Arabidopsis thaliana: one gene and its partner. The protein of the gene in region 1 purifies or fractionates together with the protein of each later gene. This does not show direct contact. Each region holds a gene or a part of one and is shown on either strand. Other genes may lie near its edges.

What was found.
Region 2: the proteins of AT5G58330 (region 1) and ATCS fractionate together in Arabidopsis thaliana (co-fractionation; one large-scale study listed by BioGRID). This does not show direct contact.

The regions. Positions count from the first base shown.
Region 1 is NC_003076.8:23,579,189-23,584,116, forward strand, and holds AT5G58330 (lactate/malate dehydrogenase family protein), read right to left. Parts: upstream 3,208-4,928; 5' UTR 3,100-3,207; coding exon 2,927-3,099; exon of another isoform or gene 2,923-2,926; intron 2,836-2,922; coding exon 2,742-2,835; intron 2,624-2,741; coding exon 2,537-2,623; intron 2,447-2,536; coding exon 2,109-2,446; intron 2,019-2,108; coding exon 1,928-2,018; intron 1,852-1,927; coding exon 1,777-1,851; intron 1,696-1,776; coding exon 1,594-1,695; intron 1,508-1,593; coding exon 1,385-1,507; intron 1,302-1,384; coding exon 1,233-1,301; intron 1,165-1,232; coding exon 1,096-1,164; intron 1,014-1,095; coding exon 960-1,013; intron 879-959; coding exon 822-878; 3' UTR 534-821; downstream 1-533. Other genes in the region: NET4A (Kinase interacting (KIP1-like) family protein), read left to right, coding at 1-453; AT5G58340 (myb-like HTH transcriptional regulator family protein), read left to right, coding at 3,419-4,468, 4,555-4,745, 4,861-4,924.
Region 2 is NC_003071.7:18,314,266-18,321,289, forward strand, and holds ATCS (Citrate synthase family protein), read left to right. Parts: upstream 1-2,012; 5' UTR 2,013-2,127; intron 2,128-2,154; exon of another isoform or gene 2,155-2,317; intron 2,318-2,390; 5' UTR 2,391-2,407; coding exon 2,408-2,458; intron 2,459-2,556; coding exon 2,557-2,622; intron 2,623-2,768; coding exon 2,769-2,810; intron 2,811-2,991; coding exon 2,992-3,057; intron 3,058-3,149; coding exon 3,150-3,215; intron 3,216-3,337; coding exon 3,338-3,451; intron 3,452-3,559; coding exon 3,560-3,623; intron 3,624-3,800; coding exon 3,801-3,883; intron 3,884-4,011; coding exon 4,012-4,061; intron 4,062-4,140; coding exon 4,141-4,218; intron 4,219-4,362; coding exon 4,363-4,491; intron 4,492-4,625; coding exon 4,626-4,668; intron 4,669-4,759; coding exon 4,760-4,846; intron 4,847-5,013; coding exon 5,014-5,115; intron 5,116-5,463; coding exon 5,464-5,571; intron 5,572-5,662; coding exon 5,663-5,713; intron 5,714-5,860; coding exon 5,861-5,934; intron 5,935-6,011; and 5 more. Other genes in the region: AT2G44340 (VQ motif-containing protein), read left to right, coding at 14-580; AT2G44360 (ecotropic viral integration site protein), read right to left, coding at 6,590-6,829, 6,914-7,021.

The DNA.
Region 1 (4,928 bases):
GATATAGCAAAGCTGTTGGAAGAAAAAATACACCGGGATGACCAATTCAAAGAGCTGGAAGCCAATGTGCGTTATCTTGAAGATGAGAGAAGAAAGGTGAACAATGAGAAAATAGAAGAGGAGGAAAAGCTGAAGAGCGAAATCGAGGTGCTGACACTGGAAAAGGTAGAGAAAGGGAGATGCATAGAGACGTTAAGCAGAAAGGTGAGTGAGCTAGAGTCGGAGATAAGTCGACTTGGAAGTGAAATAAAAGCGAGAGACGATAGGACTATGGAGATGGAGAAGGAGGTGGAGAAGCAGAGGAGGGAACTAGAAGAAGTAGCAGAAGAGAAGAGGGAAGTGATAAGACAGCTCTGTTTTTCACTAGACTACTCCAGAGACGAATACAAGAGACTACGCATAGCCTTTTCAGGGCATCCACCAACAAGACCATCATCCATTCTTGCTTCTTAATTCTTGTGTACAGTATATACTCTTTGTAACTTTGTTGGTGATACTTTCACATATAGGGAGCTGTTTTGAGATTGGTTTGTGGAAAAGAAAAAGCTCATAAGATTTGTGTTTGATATTAGCTATGCATTATCTAGTTTGAGTTCTGAAACTGGAATAAAGCATAGAAACGTTTCAAGTGTTTACAAATACTACTGTATATGACTTTTGGAGCATTGCTCAAGAAAAATCACATACAGATGCATGTAAATAAGAAATAAGAGTTTCATTTTCTTATTCTGAACAATAATCATAAGTAATGTGGCTGTGCTCTGTACAGCTAACAACCCGGAAGAGAATGCTTACTTGAGATGTTCAACGTCCTGCAAAAATCAAACTTCCCCAGGAAGCATAGTATCTACCGGACCAAGATCACAGTAGGCAATGCCCTGAAACACACATTCATAAAGCAACCAAGGTTAGTTTCTATATAAATTGGCTTTGTCTGAATAGACAAGAAAGATACGTACCTCTCCAGTGAGGTGTGCAACACATCTCTTCTCAGCCAACAGTTCCGCTTCCGACTGCAATATTTTCATGTCTCAGTTAAACTTCTAGTATTTAGATACAAAACCTGAAAAAGATTAATCTCTAAGAAGGCTATACCTTGGCGATTCGTTGGCGAAGGTAGTCATCAATTTCTACATCCTTGACAAGTTCATAATCTCCATCTCCCTGTAAGCAACACACAATTTTGAGACTTACCTCTAGAGAAAGGTTTTAAGTATAAGGATAGAACATACCTTCGACCGGCATGGCATACTGAAGACAAGGCCCTCTTCAATACCATAAGGATTTCCATCCGTGTACACCTAAATTTACATTAACACAACCCTGTTAAAACTTGAACCAATCTATCTTATTGTTATCCAAATGAGTGTAAAAGAAGATGTACCCCAGTCGAAAACCAATCACCCTCAGGAGTAGGAGTTACAAGAGACTTTATAGCATCAACAATGGAAACAGCAGTAGAAGCAGCAGAAGATCGACCCCATTTCTGAATTAATAACCCACCTCTCTGTAAAACAAAACGCAAACTTACTCAGCAAAACATTATATCTCATTGCAGAAATCATTTCATTATCAGAGGAATCGCCATCTTACCTTCTGCACACTCTCAGTGAATCCCTCTTCTAACCATTTGTGATCTGTAATAACCTCCTTCACAGGCAGGCCATTAATTCTGGCATTTAAGAAGTCTGGCACCTAATTTTCCTCTAAAAGATTAGAGAAACATCCCAAGATAAATGTAGAGAATAGATGACACTAGAGTAAGATAAGGCAAACCTGAGTCGTGGAGTGATTTCCCCATATGGTCATATTAGACACTTTGTCATAGAAAACACCGGCTTTAAGAGCAAGCTACAAAATGGAAATTGTCAATCATATGTATGCAAATATATTGCATACAATCACATATAGGTGTGAAATCTAGTACCTGGCATTTGGCACGATTTTCGTCTAACCTCGTGAGGGCATGGAAGTTCTTTGCAGGAATGTTGGGAGCATTTTTAAGACAAATCAAGGCACTGAAAGAACACAAAATGAGGTAAAGTATACTTCCAATGTTTGTCACTGATTACGATATGAAGAGGGTTGAATTAAGGAATGTAGCTTACTTGGTGTTGCAAGGGTTTCCCACTACAAGAACCTTGACGTTAGGAGAGGCAGCTTTGTTCAGAGCTTTGCCCTGCTCAGCAAAGATTTGGCCATTGATGTCCAACAAGTCAGCACGTTCCATTCCAGGGCCTCGAGGTTTTGCTCCAATCAGAATAGCCCACTCCACATCTTGGAACACTTCATTTGGATCTGTTCCTATATCAACTTCTCTCAACAATGGGAACAATGAATCCTCCAGTTCCATTGCAACACCTTCAAGAGCTTGAATTGATCTCTCTGATCCTAGCAGTTTCAATGCAATGGGTTGATCTGGACCAAATACTTCCCCTGAAGCAAGCTACACACCCGGAAAACCAAAGATACATAAAATAAGACCAATTATTGGTAACCTTATCCTATAAAACAGTAACTTAAAGGATTAACTTACTTTGAAGAGAAGATGGTTAGAAATCATTCCTGCAGCACCTGAAACTGCAATATTAATTAACTTCTTCCATGATCTTGTCTCTTCTTCCTGGCAAACACACACATAATACTATTATATCCATGTAAAGCAGAGGATTATCTCAATTCTCAAGTCTCAAAGATAAGATTCTTTTATAGAAAAATAGTAAGAGGGAATAGTAAGATACAGCTTTAAGATCATAGGTGAGGCAGAACACTCCATAACACTCTTTCTTCGTCTTCACCAATCCATTTTCTTGCACAGCAACAGGAGCTTGGCTACTTTTATCATCAATTCACAAAAGCATCTAAGATCAGATAAAGTTGATTTATTTAAGAGAGAAGAAACGATTAGGAGCTTAAAGAGACTTACTTTTGAGAAACGGAGCAAGAGATTTTGGAGTTGGGAGTTGTTGTGTGGAGAGGTGGAAGAAGAAGATGGCGAAAGTGGTTTGAAAGGTGCAATTTTGAAGAGAGACGAAGCCGAGACGAAGAGTTGAGAAAAGGCGACGTCGTTTTGGGGGTTGAGAGCTCTGCCATGGCCATTATCGCACAGACACAAACTGTGAAAGTGAGATTTCAGAACTGGAACTATGGAGAGAGAGCGCGCCAAGCGACAGAGTAGTAAGAAAGAGGATTGGGGAATCTATGGATAAGGCTCAGCTCTTGACACTTGTCACTCTTTTAGCATCCTCACCGTTTATCTTCTTTTGACTTTTAGGCCCAGTTAAGGCCCAATAACAGAATATACCTGAAACCGTTCGAATTTGATCACTGATCGGAGATTTTCGTCTTCGCCGGCGACATTGCATCCGCTGACCAGAGAATTAAAAAAGTTGCGACTTTGATCGCGAAAGTTTCAATAATGGAGGTCATTGATCAATGGGTTGCTGAATTTTTCCTCCTTCGACAACACAATCCTAGGGCTTCCCCTATTAATCTGATTTCGGCGCTAAAATTAGGAGATTCCTCCGACTGCATAAAGCTCAAGATATCTTCCGTCTTGCGTGACATCTCCAATTCATTGATCCGAGGTACGATTGATGAGGGAATGCTCGATCTTCTCGAGATTCTTGAGAAGCTTCTCTTGCAGCAACATTCGCTACTCATGGATTCTCACAAGTCTGCTTATTGCTGGACGGCTACTGAGTGTACGCTTAGATTTATGTGGCCAATGTTTGCTTCGGATGGTTTGTTCACCGATGCGCTTGAGAGGATATGGACGAAGAGGATTGGGATTTTGAAGGAGAGTGGTAGCGATTTGGTGACTTGTGACTTGTTGAAATGGGAGAGTGATTTGAAGAAGGCCCTTGGAGATCCTGAGCTCTATCAGCGAATTCGTGAGACTAACATCAGGTACACTGCCATTTCCTTTCTCACTCAGCTTCTCAAAGAACAGTGGGCATTACTTGGGAGTTCCTCTCTTGAATCAGTAGCTCAAAGAAGGTTTCTTAAGCGCAAGGCTGTGAACGTAGAGGGTGATGTTGTTGACAACAGAGGGGATCAAAGTGATGTTGATGAAAGCACGAGACGTTTTGGGAGTGATACTATTGATATCGCCAACGAGGCGCGTGGTGAAAGGGAGGACGGGAATGGGATTGGTAGAGACAACGCTAATGATGGTGAAGGAATGGAATGTCTGGAGAATGATGGGATTGATAATGTGAATGCAGCAGACGAGGAGCACACAGTGAGTGCACAAGATCAGGAACATGAGCCAAGTCTTGATAAGGGAGACGAAATGGCTGCTCGAGAGCTGAAGGAATATTTAGTAGAGATTCAAGGACACATCGACCCTTCCACTAGGCAAGGGGAAGAACCTAACAGTGCAATTGATCACTCAGTAGATGTCACTCCTCCGCCTACTCGGGTGAATAGGACTGGAACAGGCTGTCAAGACCATAACGAAGCATCGGTGAGTGTTAGTCAATTTTCCCTCAAGATGCTTTCTAAAAATCTTGTTCTTTGGTTCATGAATTTGTGGTTTAATTGTGAAAACAGGATAATGTAAATGAGAAAGGTTCGGATAGTCAGGAAACATGGTCTAGCAGAGTTCGGCCTCGTCGACCAACCCCTGTAACTCTGAGTGTATCTCCATTAAAGAAAGGCGGATTGGCGAAACCACATGTCAGGAGACCAAAGAAATTCTGGAAGCCAGAAGAAGTGGAAGCTCTGAGGGAAGGAGTAAAAGAGTATGCAAACACTCTTTGCCTAGTCCCGTACTCTATTATCAATATTCAATAGTGATACATCTTGGACCTCATTAAGATTATACCACTGGCTCATTTTGTTGTTGTTGTTGTGCAGGTATGGTAAATCATGGAAAGATATAAAGAATGGAAACCCTACAGTATTTGCGGAGAGGACAGAGGTGA
Region 2 (7,024 bases), on another chromosome or scaffold:
TATAGTTTCTTCAATGGAGATTACTCAATATCAAAGTTTTCATGAAGGTTCGAGTTCTAGGGTTTCCATGAACAGGAATTCACAAGTAATATCCAAGATCAAACCCAAGATTCGCATAATCCATATATTTGCACCGGAGGTCATCAAGACCGACGTCAAGAACTTTCGTTCACTCGTCCAGAGTCTAACCGGGAAACCGGCACCGGGAGAAGCCAAAACCGGTAAAAAGAGAGCCAAATCAAGAATTACGACTCCCCAAGAACCGGTTTGCGATGATCATCAGCCGGTCAACAGGCTTTCGGGTTTCACCGGTTTACTAGCAAACGGAGGAAACCACCAGGTGAAAGAAGAGTGGGGATCAGGTGATCAGAGTACTTCGAACACAAACACGTACTTTGATCTAGAAGGTTTAATTCAAGATGTCGGAGAAGATTACTTCTCTTCGTTTCCCATGAGATCCTCTTCTTCTTCACAAGTCGAAGGTTTCATCTTCAACAACAACAACAACAACAACAACAACAACAACAACAACAACAACAACAACACCAACTTCGATACAAAGGCTCATAATTCGTCTTAATTAATAACAGATTAATTTCTAGGGTTTTCAATCTTATTGATTCTGCAAATCGCATTTGGTGAGATGAGATCTAATCGCAACGATAAGGTCATATTTTGTGGGAGAAAAAAGGCATAGAAGTTGTATATAGATATAACAAATGGGTATGATGAGAGACATAAACTTTTGGCGGGACTGACTTTGCCAAGGTTGAGAGTTGTGATGAAGAGAGTTTAATCTACGTGCAGCCCTTCTAGGAGAAGTGGCTGTATCTAATTAAGATGTGGTCGGTCAAAAAAGCCCTAGTTTTATTATGTAACTTCATTGATGTGCTATTATTGGATGTGTATTAATTCTTTGGTGTGCAGATAAATGTGATGATTGCTGTACTTTAATTTTGGGGAAAAAGTTTGTATGGAATTAGAACAAGGATCGACTTGTTTTCGATATAGATACTCTGATTGATTGTGTATATTGAATATCGATACTTACATAACGGTTATTCGGTTAAAGTACAGTTACACTAATTAAATTAAACTGTAAGTTAACAAGAATATTCTGGCTCAAGCTAAATTATTTTTTTTATTATTATTGTTTACTAATCTTTTGTTACAAATGTTGAAAATGATATTTATTATACATGTAGTACTTCAACTAAAATAAATAACGTGTTTTCATATTTGATGTACGTGTATAATATATCATTTTCAACAGTGAGTAATATTAACCCTTTTATCAAAATAAAGTAAAACAAAATGATATAACCTATCAACAAAATGCAAAGAAAATTGATCCGAACCGAATATAGCCGTAACGGTACACCAAAATTGTTTTGAGATTTTAGTGTCCGTTGACCTTTTCATATAAAGCCAAATTATTCGGTCTGGTTTCCAAAAGAACGAAAAGGTATATGATTACGGTTTACTCCCTTGCTTCTGTGTTTTGGTTTAGTTTGGTTTACCTTCTCAAAGTTCTCGAACGTCAACATTTATTTTATCTTATTTTGTAAGGTTCTGCACATGTTATACTTATTAATTAGTCTACTTTTTCAGGCATTGGGATTATTTGTTTTAGTCTAAATCGGTTTTGGTTGCATAATATTGGATGAAAACATTGTAAAGGACAATTTCAAACCTGACTTTTCTAGATTTGGAAACGTTCCGGCTGCTTGAAAAGCTCACATAAATATTAGTATGATTTCTTAAACCAAAAATAAATGATGATTATCAACAATACCGTAAATAAGGCAAAGGAAATAAATGATGATTATCAACAATTGCCGAAAATAACCACACCGGTACACCGAAATTGTTTTTGAGATTCATAAAACCGGAATAATACGCCTAAAGGTTATTTTCTCCAATACCGGTTTAGTTTGGTTTGCCTTCTCAAAGTACTCGAAGGTCAAAATTGGAATTTAGTAATAAACCTGCTCCAGCTATATACAAATGTCATTTGCTCACCTTTCGCCGATTGATTTTGTACATCACACGCAGACGCAGCTTTTAGTATTTTTTTCAACAATCGCTTTTTTTTTTCTCGATCTCCGTGAAGCTCTCGAATCTCTGGTATGTTTCTTCGCTTCTTCATAGTGTTTCTCATTTCCTTTTGGTCTTCCATAATTTTCGGAGAATCTAGTCCTGTTTTTCTCTTCTTCTGGAATCTGAATTCGCCGGTGAATTCCGCTGATCGAATCTCTGAGTTTTGTTGAATTATTTGATTCGGCGATAAAACTTTTTTTGTTTGTTTCTGATTTTGGTGAGTGTTGATTGCTTGAGTTTTTTCACGGATCGATTTGTTTTGAGAATTGGGTGGATACTGTCTGTCACAGGTTTTGAGTTTTGGAGAATGGTGTTTTTCCGCAGCGTATCGGCCTTTACTAGGCTGAGGTCTCGCGTCGTAAGTATTTGAAAATTTTGTTTCCAGTTTTGTGTTTGTTCTCGTTTGATCTCGCTGGTTCATGCTAATCGATTGATTGGTGATCGAATCTATGTAAGCAGGGCCAACAATCTTCACTCAGCAATTCTGTCAGATGGATTCAGATGCAGAGCTCTACCGACCTGGTAAATCATCTCCGTTGCTTCGTACTTTCGTGTGTGATCGTGATCATGTAGTTTTCATGATCATGATCATATGTAAGTTTAATATTGGTTTGGGATCTGCTGCTTGTGGGGTCTTTGTTCATTTTGTTTAAATGGTGGCAATGCAGGACCTGAAGTCGCAGCTGCAAGAGTTAATTCCGGAACAGCAGGTTAGATTAGACTCTGTTTGCTTTAAATGAAAATTTGTGTTGTTGACTTTTTTTTTTCATTGAATGTGTGTATTATTTGTTATGTTAGCTGAGATTGTTAAGTTAAGAAGGCAGGCTAGTTGTAGTGAATCTCTTTGCTTTTCTAGTTTCCTCTTTTCTCACAAGAATTTTCCAATTTCAGGACCGTCTGAAGAAACTGAAGTCAGAACATGGGAAGGTCCAACTGGGAAACATCACTGTTGATATGGTAGAAACAATCATGATTTTCACGTTTTTGGTTTGTTTATATGATTTTCACCTTCCATTGCATAACTCATCATAATCCCCTTTGAAATAAAGGTTATTGGTGGAATGAGAGGGATGACTGGATTGCTTTGGGAAACCTCATTGCTTGACCCGGAAGAGGTACTGTATAACTCTCTGTATATAGTTACAATAGCTTGGTTAGATCCTAGATATAGAATATATCAAATGCTCCTCCTTCCTGTTCTAAGGCTGTTGATGCAATTATCTTATCATTATTTCAGGGTATTCGCTTTAGGGGATTGTCGATTCCTGAGTGCCAGAAAGTATTACCTACTGCCCAGTCTGGAGCTGAACCATTACCGGAGGGTCTTTTGTGGCTTCTCTTAACTGGAAAGGTGTGGCTCTTCTGTACATTATTATAAGTTGGTTCTGGATATGTCCAGTCGATTAGTTTTCCTCAATAGATTATCTTATGATATCCTTTTTTACCCTTTTTCGTATAGGTACCTAGCAAAGAGCAAGTTGAAGCACTGTCGAAAGACTTGGCGAACCGTGCTGCTGTGCCAGGTTTGGATATTACCTTTTTCGCTCTGGCTGTTGCAAATAAAGGAGTCTGTTTATTGGCTCATTCAAACTTGTTTGACATCAATGCTTACAAGAAATTGCTTAACAGAAATGAAATAAATTTGTGGGTTTTGTGTTATACTTTCATTCATTCTTAACTTGTATCCAATTTTTATACAGATTATGTGTACAATGCCATCGATGCTCTGCCTTCCACAGCTCATCCAATGACTCAATTTGCTAGCGGTGTTATGGCCCTCCAGGTGTGGTTCTCTAAACTCGTATTGTTGTTTCTGTTCTTCTTGTGATAAGCGTTGGAAACTTATTGTTTTTTTTGGCTATAAGTAAACAATTTTCAGCAGAATGATAATTTTCTTTACCTAATATCCAGGTGCAAAGTGAGTTTCAAAAGGCATATGAGAATGGAATTCATAAGTCAAAGTATGCTTTTGGGGTTCTGATTTAGTTCATGATAGCGTTTCATATTAGCTGGCATCATAACAAAGATTTTTTCTTCCAGGTTCTGGGAGCCAACATATGAGGATTGCCTCAACCTGATTGCTCGTGTTCCTGTTGTAGCTGCATATGTTTATCGAAGGTTAGTGAAGACTCTTTTTGTACTCTTTTTCATGTTTCTTGTAGCTTCTGGATTTTCGGCAATGATTTTTTTTTTATTGGAAAATTTGCCATCTCTTGTTTTTGCTTTGTATTGACTGTTGACCTTTTCCATGCATCATTGCAGGATGTATAAGAATGGTGATTCCATTCCCTCAGATAAATCTTTGGATTATGGTGCAAATTTTTCCCACATGTTGGGATTTGATGATGAAAAGGTGAAAGAGCTCATGAGGCTTTACATCACCATCCACAGGTCTGTATTAATTTTCGTCACCCATGCATGTCTCCTTAAATAAGCTTAATTATCTTGTAAATTTGTTTGTTCTTTTTAAGACTTTAAATAGACCTTTGTATAACATTTTGCTTTTCTACTATTTTTTGCTCTAGTGATCATGAAGGTGGAAATGTTAGTGCTCACACTGGTCACCTGGTATGTATATACTCTCCATGTGTCAATTTTAAAGGATTGACCTACCTGAAGTTTCTAATGGTTCTTTTGCTAAAAATTCTTGTTCATGTAGGTTGGTAGTGCACTTTCAGACCCATATCTGTCATTTGCAGCTGCATTAAATGGTTTAGCTGGGCCACTCCATGGTTTGGCTAATCAGGTATCCTCCCTTGTCTATATCTTGAATAAGTCTTAAATCTTCAATCTACAATAGAGCTTCGTAAGTGGCTTTTTGTATTTTATCTAGGTAGGTTGTGATAGTTTGATGATACAACCATAAATTGGAGAAAACAAATTCTTAGTCTTTTTTTATTATTGTTTCAACAGGAAGTTTTGCTTTGGATCAAATCAGTCGTAGAGGAATGTGGAGAAGATATATCAAAAGAACAGTTGAAAGAATATGTTTGGAAAACATTAAACAGTGGCAAGGTAAAAACAGGAAATTCCTCTGCCTTGACATTCTTTACTTTCTGGTCTTGTACCTGAATCCCACTTTTGAAGCCAGCCAACAAGACTGATGGAGCATGCGAAAATGAATTAACATCTTGTCTACTAGTCATCATAATAGGCTAATATTTCAATTTATTGTGTGATACTGTTATGGGTCCTCTTATTTACGACCTCATAGTTTGGTCAGTTGCTCTAACTGCTCCTAGTAAGTAATACTGCCATAAGAGCTTTGGATCCTGTTTTTCCCTATCCTAGTTTACCTTGTGGATGTAATGTTACAAGGATAGTCTAATGATGATCTATTGACGAGTCTTGTTTTGTCTCTAGGTTATTCCGGGATATGGTCACGGTGTTCTGCGCAATACTGATCCAAGATATGTATGCCAAAGAGAATTTGCCTTGAAGCATCTACCTGACGACCCTCTTTTCCAGCTGGTACTTTTTTTCTTTCTCTTTTCTCTTTTCTGTTCGGTTCTCAAAATTCTATCAATGTTCAGTAGCTAACAAAATCCTTCCAACTCTGTAGGTGTCAAAGCTTTATGAAGTTGTGCCTCCTGTTCTCACTGAGCTTGGAAAGGTAGTATCTCTATCCTTCGTTTACCATGGTGATCCTTCAATATTCCACCAACAACTCCACAACACCTTACCTACATGCTAGGGGCTTATGAATCTCTTGCGAATCAATTTTTTATTTACTTGCGAATCCGATGATGGCTTGTTACAGGTGAAGAACCCGTGGCCAAATGTTGATGCTCACAGTGGGGTCTTGCTGAACCACTATGGTCTAACCGAAGCAAGGTAAGAAGTAGACACCTCCTTCAAGTATCATTGAGCCTTAGGATAGCACTCAAATATAATATCTGTGCGTTTTATAGGTACTACACCGTGCTCTTTGGTGTTTCAAGGAGTCTTGGCATCTGCTCTCAGGTAACATATATATATTTACACATTACGCCTTTGTTACTACATAACATTTAAAACAGAACTCATATGCTCTCCATTCTCATTTGTGTTTAATTCACAGCTTATATGGGACCGAGCTCTTGGACTTGCACTTGAGAGGCCAAAGAGTGTTACCATGGACTGGCTTGAAGCCCATTGTAAGAAAGCTTCATCTGCTTAAGTCACCACCGAGTCCTGAGTTGTCGCACTCTCTCGTGTTTCAACAAAAGTCATTCTCTTCCACACTGGATAGCTTTTTTTGTTTTTACCTTCTATTGACAGAAGAAACATTTGTTCATGTAGAAATTGTTCCTGAGAAACACATGCTTGGTGCAAATTTGCATTTCCGGGAAACTCGTGATAATAAATAAACAGTTGTATTCAGTTTGCGTAAAAATCAAACATCAATATCACTCATGAATTAAAGCTTATCTTGGTTTTGATATACATAAAAGAAACAAGACTGCAAAATAGAAAACTTCGACATGAGTTTATCAAAAAGAAAATGGGATTAAGAGCTGCTGGTATTGTCGGTAGTAGTCTCCTTGTTAGAAAGGTCATCATCATCAGCAAGAGAGGCTGTGAAGTTGAGTCTCTCTTCGGCGCCGGCAGTGATAACCGGCATCCAAACATCAGCTGTGCCGCTAAGAAGCGTCTGAACCTGTGGATCAGAAGCTATAGCTGATGATATCATCTCATCCACATCATCTAACTTTGCTGATAACTTGTCCAATTCCTTAGCTATCTCCACCTGAAAACACAAACAATCACACACAAAGCCTCAGATTTACATTACAATGTGTACCAGATATATGAGTGAACACAGGATACAGACCTCATTGAGGTGTTGAGCAGACTTTGATGGCACTTTAGTGACTTCTAAACCAAGAGCTTCAATCTTAGAACGTAGCTCAACCTCTTCTGTATTTGTCAATGATTCTACCTA